Danio rerio: one gene and its partners. The protein of the gene in region 2 purifies or fractionates together with the protein of the main gene of each other region. This does not show direct contact. Links are inferred from orthologs where the notes say so. Each region holds a gene or a part of one and is shown on either strand. Other genes may lie near its edges. The genes, in order: rpa2, parp1, aptx, dnmt1, top2a, wwp2 and jun.

What was found.
Region 1: the proteins of parp1 (region 2) and rpa2 purify together in Homo sapiens (affinity purification with mass spectrometry; 3 studies listed by BioGRID and IntAct, counting the BioPlex papers as one, with this or other methods). This does not show direct contact. The link is inferred for Danio rerio from reciprocal best matches to the Homo sapiens genes PARP1 and RPA2.
Region 3: the proteins of parp1 (region 2) and aptx purify together in Homo sapiens (co-immunoprecipitation; 3 studies listed by BioGRID and IntAct, with this or other methods). This does not show direct contact. The link is inferred for Danio rerio from reciprocal best matches to the Homo sapiens genes PARP1 and APTX.
Region 4: the proteins of parp1 (region 2) and dnmt1 purify together in Homo sapiens (affinity purification with western blotting; 4 studies listed by BioGRID and IntAct, with this or other methods). This does not show direct contact. The link is inferred for Danio rerio from reciprocal best matches to the Homo sapiens genes PARP1 and DNMT1.
Region 5: the proteins of parp1 (region 2) and top2a purify together in Homo sapiens (co-immunoprecipitation; 3 studies listed by BioGRID and IntAct, with this or other methods). This does not show direct contact. The link is inferred for Danio rerio from reciprocal best matches to the Homo sapiens genes PARP1 and TOP2A.
Region 6: the proteins of parp1 (region 2) and wwp2 purify together in Homo sapiens (affinity purification with western blotting; 3 studies listed by BioGRID, with this or other methods). This does not show direct contact. The link is inferred for Danio rerio from reciprocal best matches to the Homo sapiens genes PARP1 and WWP2.
Region 7: the proteins of parp1 (region 2) and jun purify together in Homo sapiens (co-immunoprecipitation; 3 studies listed by BioGRID and IntAct, with this or other methods). This does not show direct contact. The link is inferred for Danio rerio from reciprocal best matches to the Homo sapiens genes PARP1 and JUN.

What each region holds. Positions count from the first base shown.
Region 1 is NC_133191.1:4,967,633-4,971,132, reverse strand, and holds part of rpa2 (replication protein A 32 kDa subunit), read left to right. Parts: intron 1-2,602; coding exon 2,603-2,716; intron 2,717-3,500. UniProt on the Homo sapiens protein: As part of the heterotrimeric replication protein A complex (RPA/RP-A), binds and stabilizes single-stranded DNA intermediates that form during DNA replication or upon DNA stress.
Region 2 is NC_133195.1:46,960,145-46,963,644, forward strand, and holds part of parp1 (poly [ADP-ribose] polymerase 1), read left to right. Parts: intron 1-968; coding exon 969-1,183; intron 1,184-3,427; exon of another isoform or gene 3,428-3,500. UniProt on the Homo sapiens protein: Poly-ADP-ribosyltransferase that mediates poly-ADP-ribosylation of proteins and plays a key role in DNA repair.
Region 3 is NC_133176.1:55,999,141-56,003,266, forward strand, and holds the start of aptx (aprataxin), read right to left. Parts: upstream 2,801-4,126; 5' UTR 2,734-2,800; intron 2,664-2,733; exon of another isoform or gene 2,640-2,663; 5' UTR 2,637-2,639; coding exon 2,507-2,636; intron 2,431-2,506; coding exon 2,384-2,430; intron 2,102-2,383; coding exon 2,048-2,101; intron 1,246-2,047; exon of another isoform or gene 993-1,245; coding exon of another isoform or gene 938-992; coding exon 740-937; intron 1-739. UniProt on the Homo sapiens protein: DNA-binding protein involved in single-strand DNA break repair, double-strand DNA break repair and base excision repair.
Region 4 is NC_133178.1:57,140,140-57,143,383, forward strand, and holds part of dnmt1 (DNA (cytosine-5)-methyltransferase 1), read right to left. Parts: coding exon 3,127-3,244; intron 3,020-3,126; coding exon 2,827-3,019; intron 2,729-2,826; coding exon 2,638-2,728; intron 2,462-2,637; coding exon 2,330-2,461; intron 1,334-2,329; coding exon 1,051-1,333; intron 965-1,050; coding exon 823-964; intron 1-822. UniProt on the Homo sapiens protein: Methylates CpG residues. Preferentially methylates hemimethylated DNA. Associates with DNA replication sites in S phase maintaining the methylation pattern in the newly synthesized strand, that is essential for epigenetic inheritance.
Region 5 is NC_133187.1:11,266,770-11,270,269, reverse strand, and holds part of top2a (DNA topoisomerase 2-alpha), read right to left. Parts: intron 2,254-3,500; coding exon 2,152-2,253; intron 2,057-2,151; coding exon 1,919-2,056; intron 1,002-1,918; coding exon 863-1,001; intron 780-862; coding exon 622-779; intron 1-621. UniProt on the Homo sapiens protein: Key decatenating enzyme that alters DNA topology by binding to two double-stranded DNA molecules, generating a double-stranded break in one of the strands, passing the intact strand through the broken strand, and religating the broken strand.
Region 6 is NC_133200.1:37,284,832-37,288,331, reverse strand, and holds part of wwp2 (NEDD4-like E3 ubiquitin-protein ligase WWP2), read right to left. Parts: intron 3,418-3,500; coding exon 3,296-3,417; intron 1-3,295. UniProt on the Homo sapiens protein: E3 ubiquitin-protein ligase which accepts ubiquitin from an E2 ubiquitin-conjugating enzyme in the form of a thioester and then directly transfers the ubiquitin to targeted substrates.
Region 7 is NC_133195.1:16,778,530-16,782,234, reverse strand, and holds jun (transcription factor Jun), read right to left. Parts: upstream 2,361-3,705; 5' UTR 2,092-2,360; coding exon 1,165-2,091; 3' UTR 501-1,164; downstream 1-500. UniProt on the Homo sapiens protein: Transcription factor that recognizes and binds to the AP-1 consensus motif 5'-TGA[GC]TCA-3'.

The DNA of each region.
Region 1 (3,500 bases), on a different chromosome or scaffold from region 2:
AGAGCAGGGTGTACAGAGGGGGTCAGTAGGCCGTCTGATCCAGGGGACTGGCTACTGACAGACAATACTGATTAGAAAATTACAAATTGTATATCAGGATAGCAAATTTAGATGCTAATTTTTCAATATGCATAAACTAATTTGAAAAGGATGGTAAACATAGTCTAATACCTGCTTCTATAACAGAACAACTTTCTCTTTCAGTCGGAAAAATATCTTCACACTTTCGTTACGAAAACACTGATGCACTGTCTGAGCTCCGTAGCACTCTTCGGAGGCGGAGCAAGTGGAGCTTCAAATCATCCAGTCTGCTTGGTGTGACTTATTATTAGTGTTTTTGAGTATAGACGTCTGTGACTGTAGTTTTCTCTGTGCTGATGGTTTATGTGCATCATATTCATGTTCTGTTAGTGTAAGTAAACCTCTTTTTGCAGTATTTGCACACACTTTGTGTTTTGTCTGGTGCACTTCAATGCTGTCATTTTACTCTGCCGCCCCACCTCTTGCTCGCCGCTGACATGCCAGTACAGCGGTATATGTGTGAACCTACACTGGTTTCATGGTTCGGTTACGATTATCATGCCATCGGTTCGGTTAAATTCCATATCACTGTTCATTGACGATGCTTTCCATACAAAATTTGATATTTTACTTAACAGCACAAGAATTCTTTTCTAAAAAATGTATAAATATATTTATATTTCTATACTATTTGTAATACAGTTTTGTCCTTCAATACAAAGTCAGAACTGTCCTTTTAAAAACTCGAGTACATGCACAGAACAACATGAGCATTTATAGCAAATGAACAAATGTAAATATCCTGCTCACTTTATGAGCCCTGTCGAGTAAGTTCTTAAACCCCTATGATTGGTCACGCACTCAACAGAAAGGGCTGCGATTGGCTCTAATGCTCTGGTGCTGTTCACCGTTGAGTGACGTTGATAACGGCATCAGCGATTTACAGCTGATCCATGACTGATGCAGAGGATAAAACTCTTCTGCAGACACACTCGTGTCTGAAGCGCTGTAACTGCCAAGAGGAGAGGAAATGTCTTGCCACCAGGTGAAATGGCAACATTGAGGGAGAGAAATTAAGGCCCAATCCCAATTCTATTTTTGTACCCCTTTCCCCTGGTCCTTACAAGTGAGGGTTAAGGGGAAGGGCTTTAAAATTTACCCCTAAGAATTAGGACAGCACCTGCACACATCATCATGTCCTCGCGATCTCTTGCTTCATATGAGATCAGATGATGGCGACTGCTGGAGTGATTCCAGTTGTGTTATTTATTGGTATTTATCTTCAGGAAATCACTGAAGGCATATATTATGTTATCATAATGATCTAATGTGGCAATGAGATCGTAATACTGTGCATTTACACAGTGGCCATGTTCATCAATGTAAACACACCAAAAACAGCATGAACATTATAGCAGACACTGTAAAAAGCCCATTCCCAGCCATTAGACTTTTCTGACAGGGTATTCCAGTGTCATCGAGTGTCAGAGTGTTGTGGGTCTGCTGTACTGAAGTTATTATTAGGAATTATAGATCGCAAAAAAAATCACAAAATTTAGCAGTTTTTATTTTAGCCCTTTTTTTTTTTTAAGCATGACGGTAAAACATGAACGCGGTTAAGAATATATTAAGACGTGTTTGTTTGTTGTAAAAATTCGTAATAATGACAAAAAAAAATACAAATTTGTGGATCTCCTTACTTCCGGGTGCAGCTGTTGCTGGGGTATTCTGGGAAATGATTCTTACCTCTTGGTTTCTAGTGTGGTCCTAAAAAATCTTTGTTTGAAGGGGTTTATACCCCTTGCTCTTAGCCCTACGCCTTCAAGCTAAAGAGAATTGGGACACCCCTACCCCTTCGAGGGCATACGCAAAACGAGGAGTAGGGGGAAGGGCTAAGGGGTAGAATTGGGATTGGGCCTACGTTTACTTTTATTTTCTCAATCGCAGTGAAATAGGAGCTTCTGCTGTAACTTCAGTCACAGTGAAAGACTGTCCAGCAAACACACACACAGTGAATTGTGCCATTTCTGTGTTTTTAAGTAGTTGGAGCATTTTAATTACTCGCCTCCCTCGCCATAGTAAACAACCACAATCGCAGTAAGCGCATATGAGATAAATACGTAATAACCGGTTATGATCTATTACTAAACCATTACCGAATTTTCCACGTCTGCATTGCGGTGAACAGAAGAAACAATTAATTTTCGCTATAAAGCGAGTTTGTGCCTTTAAACACAACGCCCCCTCTGTTCACAAAATGCATAATGATTAATTCCACATTTCTACCAACTTAAGTCGTCACATATTTAAAGCGATTTTTGACCGGCTTACGGTGAATCGTTACATCGCTAATACTATGACAATCAATGGTTACAGTGTTTCAGCTTTCTTCGGTTATGTCTTTGTGTTCAACAATAGAAACTCAAACAGGTTTAAAACAAGTGAAGGATGAGTAAATTTTTAGTTTCGGGTGAACTGTCTCTTTAACACAAACAAAAGCATCAATAGCAATGCAACACTGCATTGTTATCCTTTTTATACTTCTGTTTATTAGACTCATGTTGTGCTTGATACGGTGTAGGTGACCATTGTTGGTGTGATCCGAAGCACGGATAAATCCACAATCAACATCCAGTACAAGGTGGATGACATGACTGCAGCCCCTATGGATGTCAAGCAGTGGATTGACACAGAGGTACTGTTGCAGTGTTTTTGTGCATTGTGATTTTAGGCCATAGATATGAGTAGTGCTGGGAGGTATGTCAAGTTCTGGGGATATATTGATATGTTTCCCCAACGCAATGCAGGATTATTTAATATCTTTCGTATCAATATGGTTTGAGGTCAGTCATGCAATGCACACCACTCCAAGGGAGCACACGACATGGTCAACACAGAAAATGTACTGGTCAGTTAAAAGATAAACAATAGGTCACTTATCTAGAGATGGTTCGGATTCAAATTCTGGTGTATACTTTTCCTAAAGAATGCACTGAGCATCCAGTATTATGCCCCCCCTTGAGCATTACGGAGCGCAAAAAAGATCTGAGCTGAAGGAGGGTAGAAAAAGGCAGGGGATAAGATGATCAATTAGTCCCCAAAAGAGAAACACAGACTTTTTTTGGTGTGGTCACAAAACACTCTTAATATGTTAGGTTCCTGTTTGCGTATAGTTATGAAAATGAATACATGGGGAATATCTGCTCGCAAAGTGAGCATATTTCACACACAAGCATTCATTTCATAAGTGCATATTCGTTACATAGCCCTGATAGACAATATAGACTTATAAATTTGTAATGTTTCTGAAAGCTTGATTTAATGTTTAAGCATTTGGTTTCATGAGAGAACTGACAATGTTTTAGTACTCACATCTGAACCATAATTATTCACACACGCACATAGAGAATGCCGAATATCTTGATGCAGAATAGGTTGGAGGACAAGTTTTAAATCGTTTATATAAGGCTAAATAGAAT
Region 2 (3,500 bases):
AAAGCACCCGCTGACTGCCTGGAGCTCATACGTGCACATAGGATGCAGCGCGCGCGCACGTGTGTGCGTGCGTGCATGTGTGTGTGTGGTTTCAACAGTGTAGTGTGGAAAGAGGAAACGCTAGATGAAACGCCTGTATGGACGTGGATCTGTTTTGTTCTAAAATGCCATTTTAAAACTAAGATGTATTAGTGTAAATGGGGTCTTTTTGTGAGCGGGTTGCTGCTGCAACAGGGGCGGGGCAGAGGATCATGATGTCAGCTTAGCATCGTGATGTCTGTCGACCATTGGCGATAGACGATGGCATCATCTATTGACCCAACCCTGATTTACATAGATAATATGGCCATGGTGTAAATGCACTCTACAGTTATGATCTTAATCAGTATACTTCTCTCTCTATATTTATATATTACGATATGAATACATTTTCAACAAATGACTTGAATATTTCTATTTGGAAAGAATTGATCATTTTAGATTGGCGGGGGTGATTCTGTATGTGAGGGCATCTGCATGAAATATAATAAACTATCTACAAGCATGGATAAATACAATGAAGAAAATTATACAAATTAAATAAACTGCGTTTTATTTATTTTAAACAGTGTCTTCAGATATACAGCAATTGAATAGTAATACTGCATAGTGTTCATTGTGTAAATAATTCAATAAAATGAATCATTGCATAAAGTTATACATAACACAAAGTTACAAACGGTACAATTTCTTATGCCTGAATGCCTTTAAAACCCTCATACTGTCACAGGCCTCAAAAACACATGCAAATGATGAATTATGATCCAGACTCTTGTGATGTGACTATTGCAAATGAACACATTGTGATATTGATGCTGAAACGATATACAGTATTGTGCAGCCCTAGTTCCACCCCTGCAAGTGTTCTATCTGAGCAGAAGTTGTAAAGATGTAAGTTTTTTTTGTTGTTGTTCCCTGATGATTTTCAGGACCAGATCCGTGTGTCGAAGAAGACTGTGGACCCAGAGAAACCTCAGCTTGGTCTAATCGATCGCTGGTACCACACCGGCTGCTTTGTGAGTCGTCGGGAGGAACTGATATTTAAACCAGAGTACAGCGCTGCCCAGCTCAAAGGATTCGCAGTTCTACGAGATGAAGACAAAGAGGAGCTGAAGAAACGGCTTCCTGCTGTGAAGAGCGAAGGGTGAGCTTTAGATTTATTGATATATTTTTTTTATCTTTATTTAACCAATAAGTCGATTGAGAAGAAGTTTACAATGACGACCTGGCCAAGAGACAGCATAACAATAATGCAAATGCAGATAATACATAATACAAAAGAAAAACTACAAAAAAGCACAGTTATCTTGTACTGTTAATTGGATTGTATTTTTAGTGGTTGATAATGTGAATAAAAGAATTGAGCTTTAAGGTCTGCTGCAGATGAGTCCAAGATGATTTGTCAAATTAGAAAACATGCACTGCTTCAAATCAATTCTCCTGTATTTGTCACACCATCATCATCATCTGCAGCAGCACAGGTGCTATGAGTGAAAAGCTTGCGTCCAGACAGTGCAAAATACAACAGCATACTTCAAAACAAAATACTATTTACAATAAATATGTAAAAGACAATACGTAGAAGAAAAACACACAGTGCACACAAATGTAAACACAAAATAGACAAGTACACAGTCAAAAAGTTGTACACATCTCTTGGCTATTGGTGGGTAAATATTGTAAGCAGTATTGTTTTATAAGTAAGGGTTCAGTTAAAGTGCAGTGCATGCTACATTATGCTGGTATGAATGCAGTGATGACTATGCAAAGAGTTTGTGTGGGGTGTGTCATTAGTCTGTGTGTTGAAGCTTTGTACTCTGTTTAACAACCTTTAGCGTTTTCAAACCTTATTTTCTTTTCATCTGTTGAACACAAAAGAAGATATTTTGAAGAAAGCTGAAAACCTGAATCCCAGGGGCGGACTGGGACTAAAAATCAGCCCTGGCATTGTAGCCACACCAGCCCACATTACCACACCGACACAGCCCCACCCACGGACACGCACATTCACTACTTATATTGGTGTACAGATGGTAACATTTTATAAGCAGTACCATATTTAAGAAATATTTACACATTTGATGTATGTGACTGGAACAAAAACGACCCATTTATATATGCAATCATGTCATAATTTTTTTTTTCGGATTAGTCCCTTTATTAATCTTAGAACCACCAACTTATCCAGCATATGTTTTACACAGCGGATGCCCTCAAAGCTGCAACCCATTACTGGGATAACCAATTCCCAATTGGACTACCCAATTCACCTATAGCATGTGTTTGGACTTGTGAAGGAAACCAGAAGGTAACCCACGAGAACATGCAAACTCCACACAGAAACACCAACTGACCCAGCTGAGGGAACCAGCGACCTTATTGCTGTTAGGCGACAGCGCTACCTACTGTGCCACTGCTCTGCCCCCTTTCGAGACTAGTTCAGTTAATTTTATGTATTTGGCATTGTCTGACTTGACTGCCTTTCCCTTTTTATGGTCCATCTCTGACAATTTGTTGCACTTACTGTGTGTTGGACATTCTTGGCAGATCTTGATTACGTCTGCGTAACCTCTGATTGGGTCGGCCCATCTCGAAACCAGCCTGTCATTGCCGATTGGGCCAATGCTTAAAATTGATTAATATTCTTACTATTATCATTATCATCATCATCATCATAATATTCACATCTTGCAAGAGATAAAAGCTGCTTACATGTAAAAAAAAAAAAGCAATACATATGAAAAAATAAAATAAAATAAATAGCTGACAGGCCCACATTTAAAAAATGGTCCGGCTCTTCTGGCATTTGCCAGAATTGGCCAGATGGCCAGTCCGCCCCTGCTGTATCCATTGACTTGCATGGTAAGAAAAACAAATGCTGTGGAAGTCGGTGGTTGCAGGTTTCTCAGTAGAACTTTACTTCAGGGCTCCAGGCTTTATTATATGATCGCACTGAGGCCAATTTGCTCACTTGGTCACACAAACTTACCATTTATTTTCACCCGTTTTTTTTTTTTATAGTAATTATAATGACCTTCCATATTGACGAAGCAGTAGAGTAAAACAAATAAACATTACTTTTTGAACCATGTTTGTGTTTGTGAACAGAGTTGCAAAACCAAAAACCACCCAGCTGCATGATACAGAGTCCAGACAGCCTAAACCAAGTTGTCTGTATAAACACACTAAGACAAATGATTTGCAGTTTTTTGTAATGGAATAATAAATACACATCGGACTCAGTGTGCAAGGTTTGTTTACGTGACATTTTTTGCAGATGGATGTGAAAAAAAAAACGCATGTGAATATTTCAGACTTCAGTGTGCAATGACCTTTCGCCTTTTTTCATCTTTTATTTTCAGCTTTTTTTCTCTTTAAGTGATTTTGTATCTATGCATTAATGCTGACGTCTGGATTGTTGTGCATCGTAAAAATATTATATTCTATATATCTCTAGAAAA
Region 3 (4,126 bases), on a different chromosome or scaffold from region 2:
AAACAGCACATTTATAACAGTATTATTGATCTTTGTTACATTTTAGTTGATAGAAATACAGTTTTTCATAGTTCACTCAGTACATTAACTAATCCTAACAAGAATGAATTTGCATTTTAATAATAATCTAGTAAATCTGTGATTAATAAATGATGCACAATTATTGTTCATTATTAGATCATGTTGGTAAATACATTACTTAATGAAAACTTTAAGTGCAACCATTATAATAGAGCATATATGAGTAAAATATCTCACAGATCTCTCTTTTGAATTCATATTTTCTCTAGGAAGCTTTACAATATTATATTATAGATTATTCAGTACCGAAATCTGGAGCTTATCTAACAAAATAACTTATGATAACACTCCAAAAAAAAAACAAATGTATATACTAGGGGAAAATATTACATACACATTGAAAAAATAAATCTAAAATAATATTATATACAAAATAAACAAATAAATATATACAATTTTGTTGAAATTTTTGTAGTTTGTAATTGTTTTTGCATGTTTTATCTTTCTATTACTACAGATGTTCAGTGACTAAAATATTATTTCAATACATATATCTGTTTAATAAATCTGTTTTGGTCAAATGCACCAAAATATGACATATATTCACTGAGAAATTGATAAAAATATTCATTTTGCAAACTCATTTATGCCGAGCACTGTATACTCCTATTGCATAAATACTGAAACTTCCCAACCTATACATCTAAAAGAAACTCACCGATTTTTCACCAGCAGGTGGTGTTGTTTTTTTGGGTGGAGGTGGGCTGTCTGACACATCTGCTGTTGTTTTTGTAGGGCTCTGGATCTGCTGGGCTCTTTTGGAGGGTTTGGATCTGGACGTGTCCTCCGTGAACTTCACACTGTAAGGATACTGCTGATTGACCATGTAGAGTCTCTGACCCGGCTTTATGCTCACCTGCTTGCAGAGGTGGGCGACATTTGGTTTGTGTGATGTTAAGCAGACCAGAGACCTGTGCAATACAGCCTCAATTACAAGACAACCGGACAATTATCGACACAGCTGGTTTGCTAGAAGCTGAATAAAATAATAATTGCATCTTATCAGATATTAAAAAAAAAATAAAAAATACTTGGCATTTTAGATGTTGTAAATGTGTTCATAGAATATTTTATCGAAGCAAATACTACTGTTTATGTGTCTGATGTTTATAATAATAATGTACAATTTTCATTTTTACTTTGCCTTGTGTTAACTTAATAAAACTTGTATTAAAATTACATATATTATACCATTATATTTATATATATATATATATATATATATATAAATATATATATATATATGTACATACATACATAGATATACATACATAAATACATATAAATATATCTATACACACACACACACACACACACACATACATATATATATATATATATATATATATATATATATATATATACACACACACACACACACACACACACACACACACACACACACTACCTCAAAAAAATCTTGTCTTGTATCCAAGTTAAGTAATAATTTGACTTATAGTTGATCATTTAGTATCACAATTGGTTTGTATGAAAGGCAAATGACTCTAAATTATGATTATTTTACCAAAATAAAATATGATCATGCCTTGATTTTTAATGATTTCATTAGGACAGTAAGGTCTGACTTTGCTTAGACAACAGTCTTGTCACTTAACAGAAATAATGTACAGTATAGAATATAAAGTCATGCTGTTACTGTGAATTAACAAACAGGACATATTGGAAGTCTGCTCAAGTCTAGGATAATGACTATACAAAATTTTGCATTTTAAGCAACAGTAGAGCTACACATGGGTCTATAATTGTTGTTGTTGTTTTACCATATGTTTAATAATAGGCTAAACTTATTAACCTTTATTTTACATTTACAGAATCGTGAGAAAATCGTGATCTTGATTTTAAGCAAAAAAAAATTTTAAAAATTGTGATTCACATTTTTGCCAGAATCGTGCAGCCCTAGTCCGTATATTAAATACTTTTTCAGAATATTTTAAAAACACTGTACCTGATTGCCTTTGCCCACAACCACATCATCCACAAGTGTCGGATTCACACCCAGCTATTAAAAACATCAAATAAACAGGTTCAAACGTTATTACGTTTTATAAATTAACTTCTAAAAGGCTGTTATAATAAAATATCTGGTTCAAATCCATTTTGGTGAGTAACAAGTATTTTAATTTATTATTAAAGGAGAAAGTCAAAATATAAAACCAACTTTACACCAAGAAATAAACTTTTTTTTGTGGTATTGAAAACTAATTTGCATTATTTGACATATATTTCAGCTCAGTATATATTGTATTAATATTTGCTTTGATATTATAATTCTCCAGCAGACCTGTTTAACAGTGACAAATCCCCTGTTGCAATCAGCTCTCAATTCAACTGCAAAAAAGAAAAGACGTTGTATTTCTAAAATAAAGAGGCCGTTTTTTTATTTGCTTTTTATATGCAAAAATACCTTGTTCTCTAGAGCACTTCTTGTCTTTTATCTTAGTGTCTGGTCCTCGACCCAGAGTCACAGACTGTTGGTGATGGAGCTCAATGGGTTTGTGTGAATTATCTTCACTTACTAGTAAACACACAGGCATCTCCTGAAAACACACACCATATTACACGTTATAATGCTATTGCGTATACATATAGTCTACGGTGCTTTTCTAAAACCCACTTATGTTCGTTACTTACTGTGTTAGTGTAATAAAGCTACGGTAGAAAAAAGTGTGGTAGTCGTAAACATAAAAGTGCAACACATGACGCTCGCTCGCTCGCTCTTGTTCGTTGGTGTCAACAAACAGCACGTCATGCGCGCTTGCTGCCAACTACTGGCTGAAAGATGACGTGAACTAATCTTACCTAGGTGCCTAACAGATAATGTTAATACAAAAAAGATGATGTTAATTCAAAAAGTAGAATTTTAAAAAAGATATTAAAATAAATACAATTACACATATAATATAATCTAAAAATATAAGTAAAAATTAAAATTGTACACGATACAATTACACTTAAGGGCACAAGGCAAGGAGAGCAAACCAGAGTTGTGCAGATGCAAAACAGTATAAAGAGGAAAAAGTACACTATAATGCAAAGTATATAGTATAAAAGGCTTGTACATATGATGAGTATTATAAAGTGACAGTGTCTTAATAATATATAGGAATGTAGTATGAGGTATCTAGCAGATGTAGATGTATACACGTCAGATTTAGTGGAGTTTGTGGACAGATTTCCTGTAACTACACTTTAAAAATAATATAACATCACTTTATGGAGTTTAATTTTATAGAGTATAGAATAGTGTTACTTAATGCAGACAGTTTAAACGCTCCTACTGTTGATTTATTTGGATTTTGTTTTTATTTTAAGGCAAGTAATTATTCACTCATTCATTTTCTTTTCGGCTTATTCTCTTTCATAATCAGGGGTCGCCACAGCGGAATGAACCGCCAACTTATCCAGCATATGTTTTACTCAGCGGTACTACCCATGGTTACTACCCATCTCTGGGAAACATCCATACACACTCATTCACACACATACACTATGATCAGATTTAGCATATCCAGGTCACCTGTACCACATGTCTTTGGACTGTCAAGATACCCCACACGAACAGGGGGAGAACAAGCAAACTCCACAGAAATGCCAACTGATTCAGGCGAGACTGAACCAGCAACCTTCTTGCTGTGAGGCGAACATGCTACCCACTGCACCATCGTTTAGTTCACCACAAGTTATTATGTTCCTAATAAATAATAAATTGATAAAAAAAATAGCCGACCACTTTTTATTTTATTTTTATTAAAAAATGATATTTTATTGTAGCAAATTACACAACAACATCCCTAGACAGTTAGTGAATCCATTTTATATTGTTTTAATAAATAATACAATTTTATTATTATATATATATATATATATATATATATATATATATATATATATATATAAATATGTGTGCGTGCGTGTGTGTATGTATGTATATATAATATATATGTATATAAATAAAATTGTGTGTATGTATATATATATATATGTATATATATATATATATATATATATATATATATATATAAGC
Region 4 (3,244 bases), on a different chromosome or scaffold from region 2:
TTACAAACCATTTTATAAAGTTTCAGCTTGATGACAACTTAAGGCTGATTTATACTTCTGCGTCAAGCGCACGGGTATGCTACGGCCCAGCCTATGCGTTGACGCATAGCCCTAAGCCGTGGCTGACGTCCACCTCTCAAAAAAAAAAAGTAAACTACACATCGTACGATGCATAGCGCAAGCTCAGTGATTGGTCGGCTTGGTAGCGCTGACGGGTCAGGGTGGGACCAAGAGCCCGGCAAACCCGATAGAGCGATTGTTTACAAGTGTGGAGTCCCGTGAAGGAGCTCCGGATGGAAAGTTTTGTTTTGGGTTTACCTCATAGTTAAAGTTGTTGCATGTCTGTCGGTTCCTGCCTCAATATGAGCGAGTTTGAGTCACTTGTACATTCAGGAAGCATTTAGAAAAAACAAAACTGCAGCGAAAAAACTCAACACAGGAACATTAACACCTCACTGCCAACTAGCGTTTCAGAAGTGTTAATGCAGGCCAACAGAGACAGTGCACAGAAGTATAAATGCAAAGCCACGCAAGTTTATACAGAAGTATAAACCAGTCTTTAGGGCTTGTAAACAGAGCGCACATTGGACGTTTTTAAAAATGTATCCCTGTGAATTGTCAAGTGGTCTTTAAATTTCATATTCTAATAAATTAGGTTTTATGGTGAGAGAGGCTTGAGAGTGGTTACATATTGGTCATGAATTATTTTTCAGTAAACAATCGAGTCAACCTGGAGCCTTTCAAAAACTAAAATCAACATACAGTTGGTGCTATAGCCTATAACATATTCAAGAACAACATGCAAACAATAAAGTAACTCACCTGCAGCACACCAAAGGTGCACTGGTAGCCCATGCGCACCAGACAGCGCAGTGTGAGCTTCAGGACCATGGAGCGCTTAAATGACACAAAGTTCCTTACGTTCTCCAGCAGGAAGAACTTGGGTCTGTAGTAGTCACAATAACTGAAACAAAGAATTTACACAAATGGTAAACATTCTGCAGCAGCACATCTCCAAATGTTTTACAGGAGGTCTCATATTGTGCTGACCTCAGATAAGAAACAACCAGAGAGTTCTTGAACTTTGAGTATGTGCGAGAGTTGAAGCGGTTCATTCCACTGAAGCCTTGGCAAGGCGGCCCACCGCAGAGCATCTCCACGTCACCCTTCTGTGGCAGCTTCTGTCCAAGAGAGTTAGTCTTCTCTCCAGACATTACCAGCTTCAGCAGGACGTTACAGTCCTCTGTGAAAACGGTCGTGCCTGGATTGTTCAACCTGAATGCCTGAGCGGCAGGGTCCCACATCTCTATTGCCCAGTGAGTCTCTGAGATGCCTGGTATAAGAAAAGGTGCATGAGTAATAATTAGGGATGTAACGGTATCAGAATTTCACGGTACGGTAATACCTCGGTATGAACGTCACGGTACGGTATTTATTGAATCATTTACAGGAAAAAACAAAACTTATGAAAATACTCCAAAAAAGTGCCAAAAGTGTCAATGACATACAAATTAGCCATCTATCTGTAAGCTTTGAAACAGGAACTTCAATTTTAATAACAAAAAAAATATTAAACCATGTAAAAAAAAAATAAAGTTTCAATTTAGTAGTGTTGAAAACTCATCACATTCAACATTTAATCACTCACTCACTAAGATAGAGATGGGTTTAAACGAAAATTATCATAAATATAATCTGGTAAAAGCTGGTATCTCTGGGTATTTACAATGTCCCCTACAACAGAAAAAAACCCTCTCATTTGGGACTGAGGTTTCTGGGACAAGAGAGATATGACTTGGCCCAGGTTGACAGCAGTGGGTAACGTTGTGCATTGTCTTTCCCCCACTTGAGAGGACAAACCATGAGTAAGATAGAGGTCTCATGTCTGCATCAATCTGAACAGTGTGCTGACAACACCGCTATTCAGTACGCGCGCGACAACACAGCTGATAAGAACTCGCGCGACAACACCGCTATTAAGTACGCACGCGGCGACAACACCCGCTTTAGAGTTTTCCAGCTCTTTTTTCATCCCCGCTTCTAGCAGCACACTCTATTTCCGCATTACTGGATCTGTAGCGACAACAGACCGCAAGGGATGATGGTCAAGCATGGGCTGATGGGAATTGTAGTTTTCGCTACCTCCCGTTCGCTTCATTCGCCTGAGCAAATTTTCTCAGAAGACCTATAGTTTTACTGAGTCGTGCGACTTCGGTAATATCAAAAAAAATTAATATTGCGGTATGACGGTATTTACAATACAGTTACATCCCTAGTAATAATACATTGTGTAACATGGTTCTATAAAGAGACTCAATGGAAGCCAAACCTGCTTGATGGAAGCCCTCAGACAGACCACCACAGCCAGAGAATACATCCAGAGTGCGCAGTTTGGGAACCACTGGCTCTTGTGGCTCCTGATCCTGTGGTTCTTGAGGCGCTGCTTTCCCTTTCCCTTTTCCTACAGACAACCATGGTACAAACATTTAAGCTGCAATTTCTCCCCACATGCAGTTATGATTGTGTTCAGATATTTAAGCCATCTTGAATCCACGATGGACCATTTTTAGCTTAAAAAAAACACAAGAGCATACCTAGAAGTTTCCATTACTTATTTCAACATTACACTTGACTTACCTTTGCCCTTTCCTTTCCCTTTGCCCTTATTCACAGCAGATCTAGCATGATTGGGAGGATCCTCAAAGCTCTTGGTTTTGGCATTGTATGCCTACAAAAAGAACCATTAGGTAAGTCATGGCAGAAAATATTTTCAGCTGCATTACGAGTACCATTGGCAGCTCCATTACAGCCAGATTTTATCCTTACCTCAAGGAAATAGAAGCGATCGGGTCCTTTGTTTGAATAGTCCTGCACACTTTCAACCAGATCCTCTGCATACTCAACACGACAGCGTGTCAGCACCTCAGTCATGCTGACGGTCGCCTCTTCGTCACTCCAGTAGAGTTGGTTTATATCAGAATGATATGCTCCCTTTGGTCCCTTGTGAGTGTTTTCAGGTCTGAAAGCAAACAAGTTTGGGGAGAAAAATAGTATTGAACTCCCTTAAGGTACAACCTCAAAATCAGACGCACTGGTTGGAATCATTCCGGAGAATAAAAGAGTTACCTGTAGAATTTATAGAGGCGCAGTTTGATCTCTGAGGTGTCTGGCTTTCCATTGCTGCGCTTGTTGCAGAAGATTTCTTTGATGCGCCCAATGCGGAAAGGCTGAGGAGCATCCAGAT
Region 5 (3,500 bases), on a different chromosome or scaffold from region 2:
AGTTTGATTATTGCTGGTCTCAAATTTATAATTTGCTAAGTAAAAGACCATGGTACACTGCTTAAGGCTAATTCATAGTTCTGCACAGAGTGAAGCGCAATCTTTAAACAATCGCACACCCTTAGCCATACGTTATGCCACATCTCTCAAAAAATTAAGTACACAAAGAGACATGTAGCGTAAGATCTGTAATTGGTCAGCTTGGCATCGGTGAATAGTGTAGGGGTGGCGTAAGAGAGCCATAAGCGAAGTGAGCCTGATGGCATGAGTGTTTTACAAACAGTGCCATCCAAAAGGCGATAGAATTACCCCTCCGAAATGTCGTTCAAAACTGAAGTGCTCAAAAATGGCCACTTCTAAGTGCTGGATTTGGTGTTTTTGAAAAATACAACTGATAGATACATTGGCCCACATGATTCTTTGAGGAGGGAAGTTGTTTAGAGTCGCACACTGCATTAAATTTGGAAGGGCTCCAGTTCCTTCAAAAGGGATCCTACAAAGGGATTAGGGCATATGGAGGAATTCTTCTGAAAGGAACCCCTCTTTTTCTTGCTCTCTCTCTCAATAACTTTTGTGGGGTATGTAACTAAAAATGAAAGTGATTAATTTTTAGTCATTGACCTGTTTGTGTGAAGCTTCTCGAACGTTGAGCATTTTACCACGCAGAGGGAAGACACCATATCGATCACGTCCCACAACACCCAGACCCGACACGGCCAGAGTTTTGGCCGAGTCTCCTTCGGTCAGGATTAGAGTGCAGCTATTGGAGTTCTTTCCACCTAAAACAAACAAAGCACCCGGCAATGAACATCCAGGCTGAAGGTGTCGTGACCATTTAACATTACAACAAACCTCTTGTTACCTGCATCGTTGGCATCATCCAGCTTAGGTACTCCTTTAATCTTCGTGTGTTTGACAGCTGAGCATTTCTTATTGAGCTGAGCCTGGGCTTTAAACTTCACCCAGTTCATAATGCTTTCCACAATTCCACACCCATTAGCCTGCAGACATAGATGGATTAGGATTTTATTAGAGCTTTAAAAGTTCAATTGCACTAACAGTAGTCAAAATCCAAGGGCAGTCATACAGGAATCATAACTGGAAGATTTGTGGCAGAGCAAAAAAAGTTCTACACATATTTGACATATTCAAGTATTACAAATTTATTGAGCTGATCAAATGAAAGTCTTTCTGATTTTAAGTCATGACTTCACTGTTGACAAATTGACTGCAACTTAAACATATCTTTAACCACCATTAGCAAAACCCTGATTTAGTGATACAAAGTTGAGTAATTAAATTGCAATTAATTGTTAATGCATTGCAATATAAAGTGAATACATTAAGTGAGAAACAAAACACAACAGTATTAAGGTTTTTGGGTTGTTAAATATATAACTAATAGGCTATTAAGAGATTGATGGTAAGATTTGTTATGTTAAAACACCACTTCACCTTCCATGGCCATTTTTATGGTGAGAAAAAGTATGCTGGAGTTGTTGATTACATTAAGGTTTTACACTATTTTTGCTAAAACTATAAAAGTTGCTAAAAATGTATACTTCAAATAAATGAACTAAATGAAATACCTTCCTCACTGAAGTAAAGCCAACACACTCAAATAAAACATGCTTGATAGTTAAAATGATTTTACAAATAAGAGCATGTGGGAGAAACCACTGGTTCCACTGGTTGGAGAATTTGTTGAAATCTTTTCTAACATTAAGGGTAATTTTGTCAAGTTTGTTTTGCATGTAAATCCCATTCTCTTTGTTTTATGGTAATAATGTGTTGAAAAAACTCAAGTAACATGCACTAACCAGTAAAATACGTCTAACATATTTATATTAACTCTAAACTCTCACCCATTATGCCATGATTTTTTACAGCAATGAATGATCGAGAAATCAGTTCTTACCTGCTTAACAAACTTGTCACTCAGAGAGCAGGCAGAACCAAAATTCTTCTGCTGCAAGGTCATATTCTCTTTCGTCTGGGAGTCAAAGCTGGGGTTCTCTATCAGACAGTTCACAAACAACCACATATGGTTCTTGACCTGCACACAAAGTTAAACCAGCACATGGTGATTAATTTAGAATGCCATGAGAAGGCAATACTATTTGATGCAGTTTGCAGAACATCTGAATGTACCTGGAAAGGTTTGACGGCTACTCCAGCCTTGTTCTTCTTTTTCACTACTTCAATCAGTTTGGACACAATCTGATCTGCAACATAGTCTGTGTGTCTGCCACCCTGAAACACACAGCATTTTAATGACCAAATGAAGCTGAAAAACGATTTGTGTAGGGCTGCTTTAAAACTGAACTGAAAGAAACTTGGCTTTTGACTTTTTAAAATGAAAATTGACTTGGTTTGTCACAACGAAACTTTACTGTATGCATGTACCTTATTAAATATTTATGTTAATTCATTTATTCATTTTTTTTTCAGCTTGTCCCTTTAATAATCTGGAGTCGCCACAGCGGAATGAACCACTAACTTATCCAGCATGTTTTTACGCAGTGAATGCCCTTCCAGCTGCAACCCATCGTTGGGAAACACTCATACCCTCATTCACACATATACACTACAGACACTTTTAGCTTACCCAATTATTATTTATGTTAATACATTTTTAAATTAAAGTCACCAAATCTACAAAAAAAAGCTAACTTTATACAACTTACATTATCTTATACATATTCTACACATTTGCTTTCACTTTATAATGGCATTTCTTGTCAGATGATTGACAGCTTAGGCAAGATACGCTAAAATCCCTCCCTTCCAACCACTGCTAGCAAATAAAAGAATTCAAAAAAACTTTACACACTACATTATATTTTGTAGACATTAAATAATCAATAGATCTGGTTTAGAATATGTGACGCATCTGTTTGATTGAAGATTTATTAAAAAAACATTTTTGAACAGTTTTGAAAAGGCTGTTTATTCATCTGAATACATTACCAGGGTATATGCAGCAATCCTTAAGTTAATTTTAATACCTTTTTAAGACTTTTTAAAGACCTTCTTAGAATATATTAAGACTTCATTGCCACTAAGTCCTAATCCATATTAAACTTTGACCTTAATAAACAGATATTAATAAACAGTTGTAGTTCAATAAATCAATGAAGCACAACCGTGTAACAAAACTCAGAGAAGCCTGGAAGAAACAAACGTGATTGTTTTGTTGGCGACAGGCTTCAGCCACTGTTTAAACCCATCTTTCTCAAATCAGAAGTACTCAAACTTACATTTTCCCATTTTGCTATCTGTTCCACTCTATGGGTTCGCTATATGTGGAAAGTGTCACGTCACCTTTCCATGTTTGCCGCAAATTACATGACGTCACCCGAATGGAGGAGCTTGGCTAAACGTGCCTTGGCTCAAACCAATTGCAAGGATCAAGGAAAATGAATACATTTATGCTTTTTTGGAGTTAAACACTTTAGACAACGCTTGAACAAAATTTAAGACCTCATTAAAACCTGATT
Region 6 (3,500 bases), on a different chromosome or scaffold from region 2:
TGAGAGAGAGAGAGAGAGAGAGAGAGAGAGAGAGAGAGAGAGAGAGAGAGAGAGAGAGAGAGAGAGAGAGAGAGAGAGAGAGAGAGAAGAGAGGGGGGGTATTATGTGAATTAGGCGATGAAACTAATTGTTTAGCACTAGCAGAACAATACATTGATGCCTGTCATTAAAAAAAAAAAAAGGTAGACCAATAAAAACATTAGTGATGTGCTTATAAACACATGCATGCACACACACTCGCTTGAACATGTATGCACACGCACGCATACATGAACATGTATGCACATGCGCACACATGCAAATGCATGTACGCACACACGTAAATGCTCATACGCTTGTGCTCACTCAAACATCAATGCGCACACACACACTAACATGCACAAACGCATACGCTCACACATGCACGCCCATGCATAAACATGTACAAACATGCACGTATGCATGCGTGCACAAACACACACTTGCGCAAATGCACACCCAAACATGCACGAACACGCACACACACGAATGTACATGCATGAAGACATGCACACGCACGAACAAGCACTTGCACACACGAACGCAATGAACAAGTGCACAAACACTCCAATGCACGCACATGAATGCACACACGCACTCATGCACGCTCGTGCATACACACACTGAATCCTAATTTGCAATAAAGGAAAGCTTAAATCTTGACTGTTAAATATACTGTTGTTTCGTTTTTGTTTTTAGTCTCTGATTTGTCATTTGTTTTCACAGGTTCTATTTTAATGTTAACATCACAGGTGCTTTAGCAACAAAAACATTTTTCATAGCAAAACTCAATTTGCTGAACATTATAAAAGATTAAAGATTTTTTATTTGTGGACCCATTTGATGAAGCTTTTCATGATTTCAAATATGATCAAACTTTAAATACATTTCAGTAGGAACACGTCAGAGAAAAGTATGAGCTTTCATCAGAACAGAAATAAGTGTACAGCTGGAATATCATTTCCTGGATATTTTGACATTTAAAAAAAATCACATAACCCATTTGAAACCTTAAAAAAAAAAGCCACGCATTAATTCAAAGTGCTTTCTATATCAGGCTTTCTGCAGGTTTCACAAAGACTTTAAGACCTTTTAAGACTTGCAGAACAAAACTTTAACATTTTTCTTTGTAATGGGCAGTGGATAATTTACATGCCCTATTAAAAAAATTGAAATTTAAGCCACATTTTAAATAGTGTCAAAACATAGTTTTATATATAAAATGTATAATAAATATATATGTTTTAGTTTCAAAAACTATTTAAAAAAAAAAAAAAAAAAAAGGACATTTTGAAGCTGAGAGAAAATTCCAAAATAATGCTTTATTTTAATCAGAGCATTGTTGAAATATTCGTAGAACTTATTATAGTGCTTTATTCTCAGTATTTCAAATCACTATTCTTACTGTAAATCTCTCAAAATATTAAATATGTGTTACTACTTGTTTCAAAAAACTAAACGACCAAAAAAAGTAATACTTTTTGGAATTTATTGGGAATGTTTGCTCTTGGATGTGTGTGTGTGTGTGTGTGTGTGTGTGGTTTTTTTTTTTTTTATTACCATAAGTTTTAAAAAGTATAAACTAAAATTTATTCACAACAAACATAAATGCATAAATACAGGGAGAACTTTGAAACAAATGTTATTGTAAGGATGATAAGTCGCTGTCGCCACTGGCTTGCATGGTTCAGGATCTGAAAAGCTACTCAATGAATTTACCCTTCAGTGTATGGACTCAGTAATGATTTCAAACCACACTGAACTGAGCTAACCTGAACTTAAAACTGAACTTAAACACTAAAAACTGAACTACCCTGATCCAGTTACTATGACCATTTATGTGAAGCTGCTTTGACACAATCTACATTGTAAAAGCAATATACAAATAAAGCTGAATTGAACTGAACAATACTAACAATATTACTTTTGTTAACAGTGTTTTTATAGATGGATTGTTGGTTTTATAGCTATAAAAGTTTGCAAACATTAAAGTGGTGATTTCTTTTCTTTGACCAAAACACACCAAACAAAACAAATAAAATAAATAAGCCAATAAACAGAAAAAGCCCAAACTAAGGAAATAAGGCTGACAGTCTTAAAAACGCCATCACGCAGCATTTCTCTGCTTTTCTGCAAGCACAAAACTGACTCAGAAACATCTTTACCCACTTTACCCCCAAAAAAACTCTGGGCCTAACCGCGCGGAGTGATCTGCTAAACCCTTCCGGATCATATCAGAACACTCCAGTATTAATTACACACCAAACCTGCACAACAGACCGTTATTCCCAGAACTTAAAACAAATCAATCTATTTAATAAAGAGCATCAGGGTCAGTGTTCTCAGATATTAGTGAAGTTGCTCCTCACGCACCTCGAGAGGCCTTTAAATCAAGTGGGGAAAAAAAAAAAAAAAAAAAAAAGGTTCACTCATTACATTGGCTGCACTTACACTGCAGATCTTGATGGTCAATACGATTGTGACTGTATGTGATTTTTTTTTCATTTCTGCTCACATCATCTTTTAGAAGTGACTCCTGAACGGTTCTCTGCATTTACACTGCGCAAAAAAAAAAATAATTAAAAAAAATTCGGACGCTGACTGACAGCTGATAATGAAAAAGCGCTCTTTTCTCTATTCTTTTATTTAATCTGTTTGCAGAGTTTCATTTATTTATTATTATTTTTGACAAGTTGCTTTCCAATAGTTTGACAGAAAAGATTTGGCCATCTTCTTTTAATCTAGGCCTTTTTAAACGAGTAGGCATCTTAATGTCATGTCCATGGCGTAATATGTGCACGTGATGCATGCAATAGTTTTATCAGTTTACATTGGTTATGTGGTGGATAGTGCTCTCGCTCTCATATCCGATCTGTGCCACATGCAGAAAAAAAAAAATCTGAATTAAGTCACTTAAACCCTGCAGCGTAAACTCTGCCATAATCTGTCATTATTTCTCTAAAACAGTGGTCACCAAACTTGTTCCTGGAGGGCCGGTGTCCTGCAGATTTTTGCTCCAACCCTAATCAAACACACCTGAACGAGCTAATCAAGCTCTTACTTGGTATACTTGAAACACCCAGGCAGGTGTGTTGAGGCAAGTTGGAGCAAAACCCTGCAGGGACACCGGCCCTCCAGGACCAGGATTGGTGACCCCTGCTCTAAACCAACAAACAGATCTCTGCATCTGTGCTTGTCTGTGAGAGTTAGTGTGCAAGCGTGTGTCAGTGCATGTGAGAGTGAGTATCCGTGTGTGTTTGTGTGGGTTTAAACTCACTCTTGCCATCATGTGTTCGTAGAGTGTCCAACAAGTCGATGGTGGCGCTGCCCAGAAGCTCCTTCCTCAAAGTGTGACAACTCCACACCTTCAGATCCAGACGACTCTGAGGAGTCACGTTCCTGCACCACACACACACACACACACACACACACACACACACACACACACACACACACACACACACACACACACACACACACAC
Region 7 (3,705 bases), about 30 Mb from region 2:
TCAACCATTTATTAATTTAATATTAAGTCATTGTTGCTGGTTAAATTGTTAAAACTTGTATACATCTTCAACTTCTACAATTTTTTTTAACATATTTGCAGGCTAACACTAACCTTAATAAACTTTTGTTTCAGTTGACACAAAAATGAGGCCATGATTAAAGGCATTGGTCTATTTAGTACTTGACTGTGTGATAATTACTTGATAATTTCAGCATTACTGATTTAAAGAGTCAATCAAATTATGTGTCTGCTTTATTTTGATGTAAAAATGTTATATTAAGTTTGCATTTAACCTTTAGCAATTAAGCATGTATTTATAATGTTATTATTTTTAATTACTGTAAGGATGTTTTTTGACACCCTTTTTTCCCAGTCCTGTCTGTGGACTTTACAAAACAGCCAGTCTCTTCCAAAACATGTTATTACATGTTTGTCAATTTGAACACACACACACATACACACACAAGCGTCATTTCCATTAAGACAACAGAGACATTGTTTTTCATTTGACATACTTTATTACAGTTCATAAATATTGATTAGTTTCTGAGGTGCTCAGAAAACAAACATAAAAAATTATTGTACTTTACTTACAAATGGTAAACTTAAGTACTCCTGGTTGATCATATTTACAAATAACAATGAGTGAAACCTCATTAATGAACTTTTTTTTTAGAAAAAGAAACTGCTTAAGTTGGACTAACTCAAAAGGAAAAAAGTCGATTTCCGTTCAATTTAAGAACAACAAAAAAAGTACAATATGTAGCTCAGAAGTCAGGCAGCTTTTTTATCAAAAGTTTAGCAGACACAACGTCCTGCTTGGTGAGCCAGTATCCCTACTGTACGGCAGTCGCGTCTCTGTTTTACTCCTATAATACTGAGTGCTCCTTTGAAGCGTATAGGTCCATGCACAACCTGGTCGATGTGAACAAGGATTTCGTCAGAAAGTAAAACATGTAACAGAGTGAGTCTCATGCGCTCTGCGTCTCTGTCGGACCGAGTGAAGTTTTGCGCTCCTCAAAAGTCCAGTCGGATCATCCTTTAACGGCACGCGGCCGGCCGGACGGTCCCGGTCCCCGCGGGCTCTGTCGCGCCAGATCGCAGACATCAAGCCCCTGAAGTTTGTTTATGTGGCTGAACTCAAAATGTCCTTCGGCTCTCCTCAGAAGGTTTGCAGCTGTTGTGTCAACATGAGCTGGCAGCCGCTGTTGACGTGGTTCATGACTTTCTGCTTGAGCTGTGCCACTTGCTCGCGCAGCATGTTGGCGGTGGACGCGAGCTCCGAGTTTTGCGACTTCAGGGTCTTGACTTTGTCCTCCAGCCGGGAGATCCTCTCCAGTTTCCTCTTCCGGCATTTGGACGCGGCGATTCTGTTTCTCATGCGCTTCCTCTCGGCTTTAATCCGCTCCTGGCTCTCCATGTCGATAGGAGAGAGCGGTGGGGTCTCGCCGGGCATCTCGGGCACCGTTTGGGGCTCCTCTTTCAGGGCCTGGAGGCGCGGGTGCTGGACGGGCAGCTGCGGTGGTGCGCTCGGGAAGCTCATCGCGGCTGGATTGGCCGAGCTGCTGCTGATAGCAGGGTTGAACGTGTTCAGATCCGCGTAAACCGGCGGATCAGCGCGCATGGCTGAGCTGTAGACCGCACCGCCCGCTATGGACGAGACCGGTGCCATGCTGCTGTTGATAGTAGTTTGGGGAGCCGAGGTGACGTTGGGCATGTGCTGGTGGTGCAGCTCAGCCAGTGCCCTCACAAAGCCCTCCGCGAACCCCTCCTGCTCATCCGTCACGTTCTTGGGACACAGAAACTGGGTCGGAGTTGGCGTCGTGGTGATCATGCCGTTGCTAGACTGGATGATGAGCCTCTCCAGCTCCGGTGATGCCAGTTTGAGAAGTCCCACGTCGGGAGAAGTGAGGATATCGCTGGCTTTGGCCCTCAGGTGGGGCTTTAGGTTCCCCGCGGGGTCGGACAGATTGAGCGTCATGTTGTGTTTCAGAGCCTTGTGGTTGTATCCAAAAGTGGCGCTGTCATGCTGAGAGAAAGCGCTGTTTAGAGAGTCATCGTAGAAAGTAGTTTCCATCTTGGTAGACATAGAAGGCAAAGCGAAACTTTTAGTTCAGAAGCAGTCTTTTAGGCGCTGTTAAGCACTGTCCGCGTTCAGTAACGAGCGCTGCGGTGTTTGGAACAAAAGCGAGAGGATTGGAAAAGTTCCTCAACTCCCCGTCCCGCGAGAAACTTACTGCGTAAAGTTATCGCCAGTGTCACGGGCTCGTCTCCTCCTGCCTTCCGCGGATAGAAAGTTCTTCCTCCGCCGCTGTCGCGCTTCTCAGACACCAGCAGATAAACAGTGCTTAGCCGAAGGCTTATTTATGTTGGTTTGAGTGAGGTGTTTCACTGTGGCGAGGTCTGTATACTCTGAGCTTCTCCAGCGTGGAGGCAAACCTTATCTGCTACCGCTGCCCCACTAAAAATAGAAATGATGTAATGCGCGCAGCCTCTCATTGGCTGGAGGCGTTTTACTGGGCGTGTCACAATTTCAGATAAGGCGCGTTGCCTAGACGACCACCCAGAAGATTCTACTCGCGGTGCCTGATGGGATGAGGTAATGCTGTAAAGCAGTGCATTGTGGGATTACGTATTGTTTTTGAATATCTGGTTACCCGCTTAGCTGTTTTAGACCGTGGCGGGATACAAAGAAGCAGAGTAATGTACAACGCGCCACTTTTAGAACTTAAACTTTACTATAAGTTTGAGAAGAAGAGGCAGAATAAATGTGTGCCGCTGTATGTTTGAGAGTTGACCAATTCTTGCGCGAGTTTCGCAAGACGCGGCCATTCTTTAACAACAGCAAGTTCCAAACACTCTCTGGATCCAGTTTAATGTATTGCATATACATCAGTAAGGTAAAAAATATATATTAGAAATACAGTTTGGAGTCAGTGAAACTAATTTCCAACCTTACAATAAAATGTTGAGGGAGATTTAAAACGAAAAAAAAATAGAAGAAATGCCTTCTGAAATAATAAATTAAATAAGCATAACTTGATGTTACTCATTTTGTTTGAATATAATGTTAGATTAGCTGATTAAAAGTATTTTTTTTTAATCAGTCGTTGAAATATATTATGAATTAATTAGTATTTGCTAATTTTACTCTTCTTCACTTCCAGCACTCCCTTGTTGGCCCCCTGGGGGTCCCCGAACCCTAGTTTAAAAACCTCAGTGTTATACAGGCATACATAATTTAATCTGGCACGAAGAAACAGGGCTATAGTCTGCTTTTTTATGCCAAAGTGCATTTGCTCCGTCAGCCAATGGTCTAAAAATGGGGGCGTTTCTTATTGTGGAGTGACAGCGTGCCACAAAGTCCAGCCGCCGTATCCGTGACAGTCCCTAGAGATCCTCTCAAAAGTGCAAACAACCCTGTTAAACGTCACTGCGTCAACCACAACCACAAACTGATCGAATATAGCGTGACAGCTGACAAGTGACGTTTCAGTTTACTTTCTGAGATTTTTACTGACGTTGCTTAAACGTATGTAAAGACACAATAGCTAGTTTATTTGTATTTATAACAACATTAGTAAGATAAATATACAGGTAATGTTGAGATGGACATTTGCAAGAATGGTCGTTTTTATTATTGTTTATTTTATTAATTAGTTTTTGTTATGAGTACATTAAAATATGGTTGATTCTACTGTTT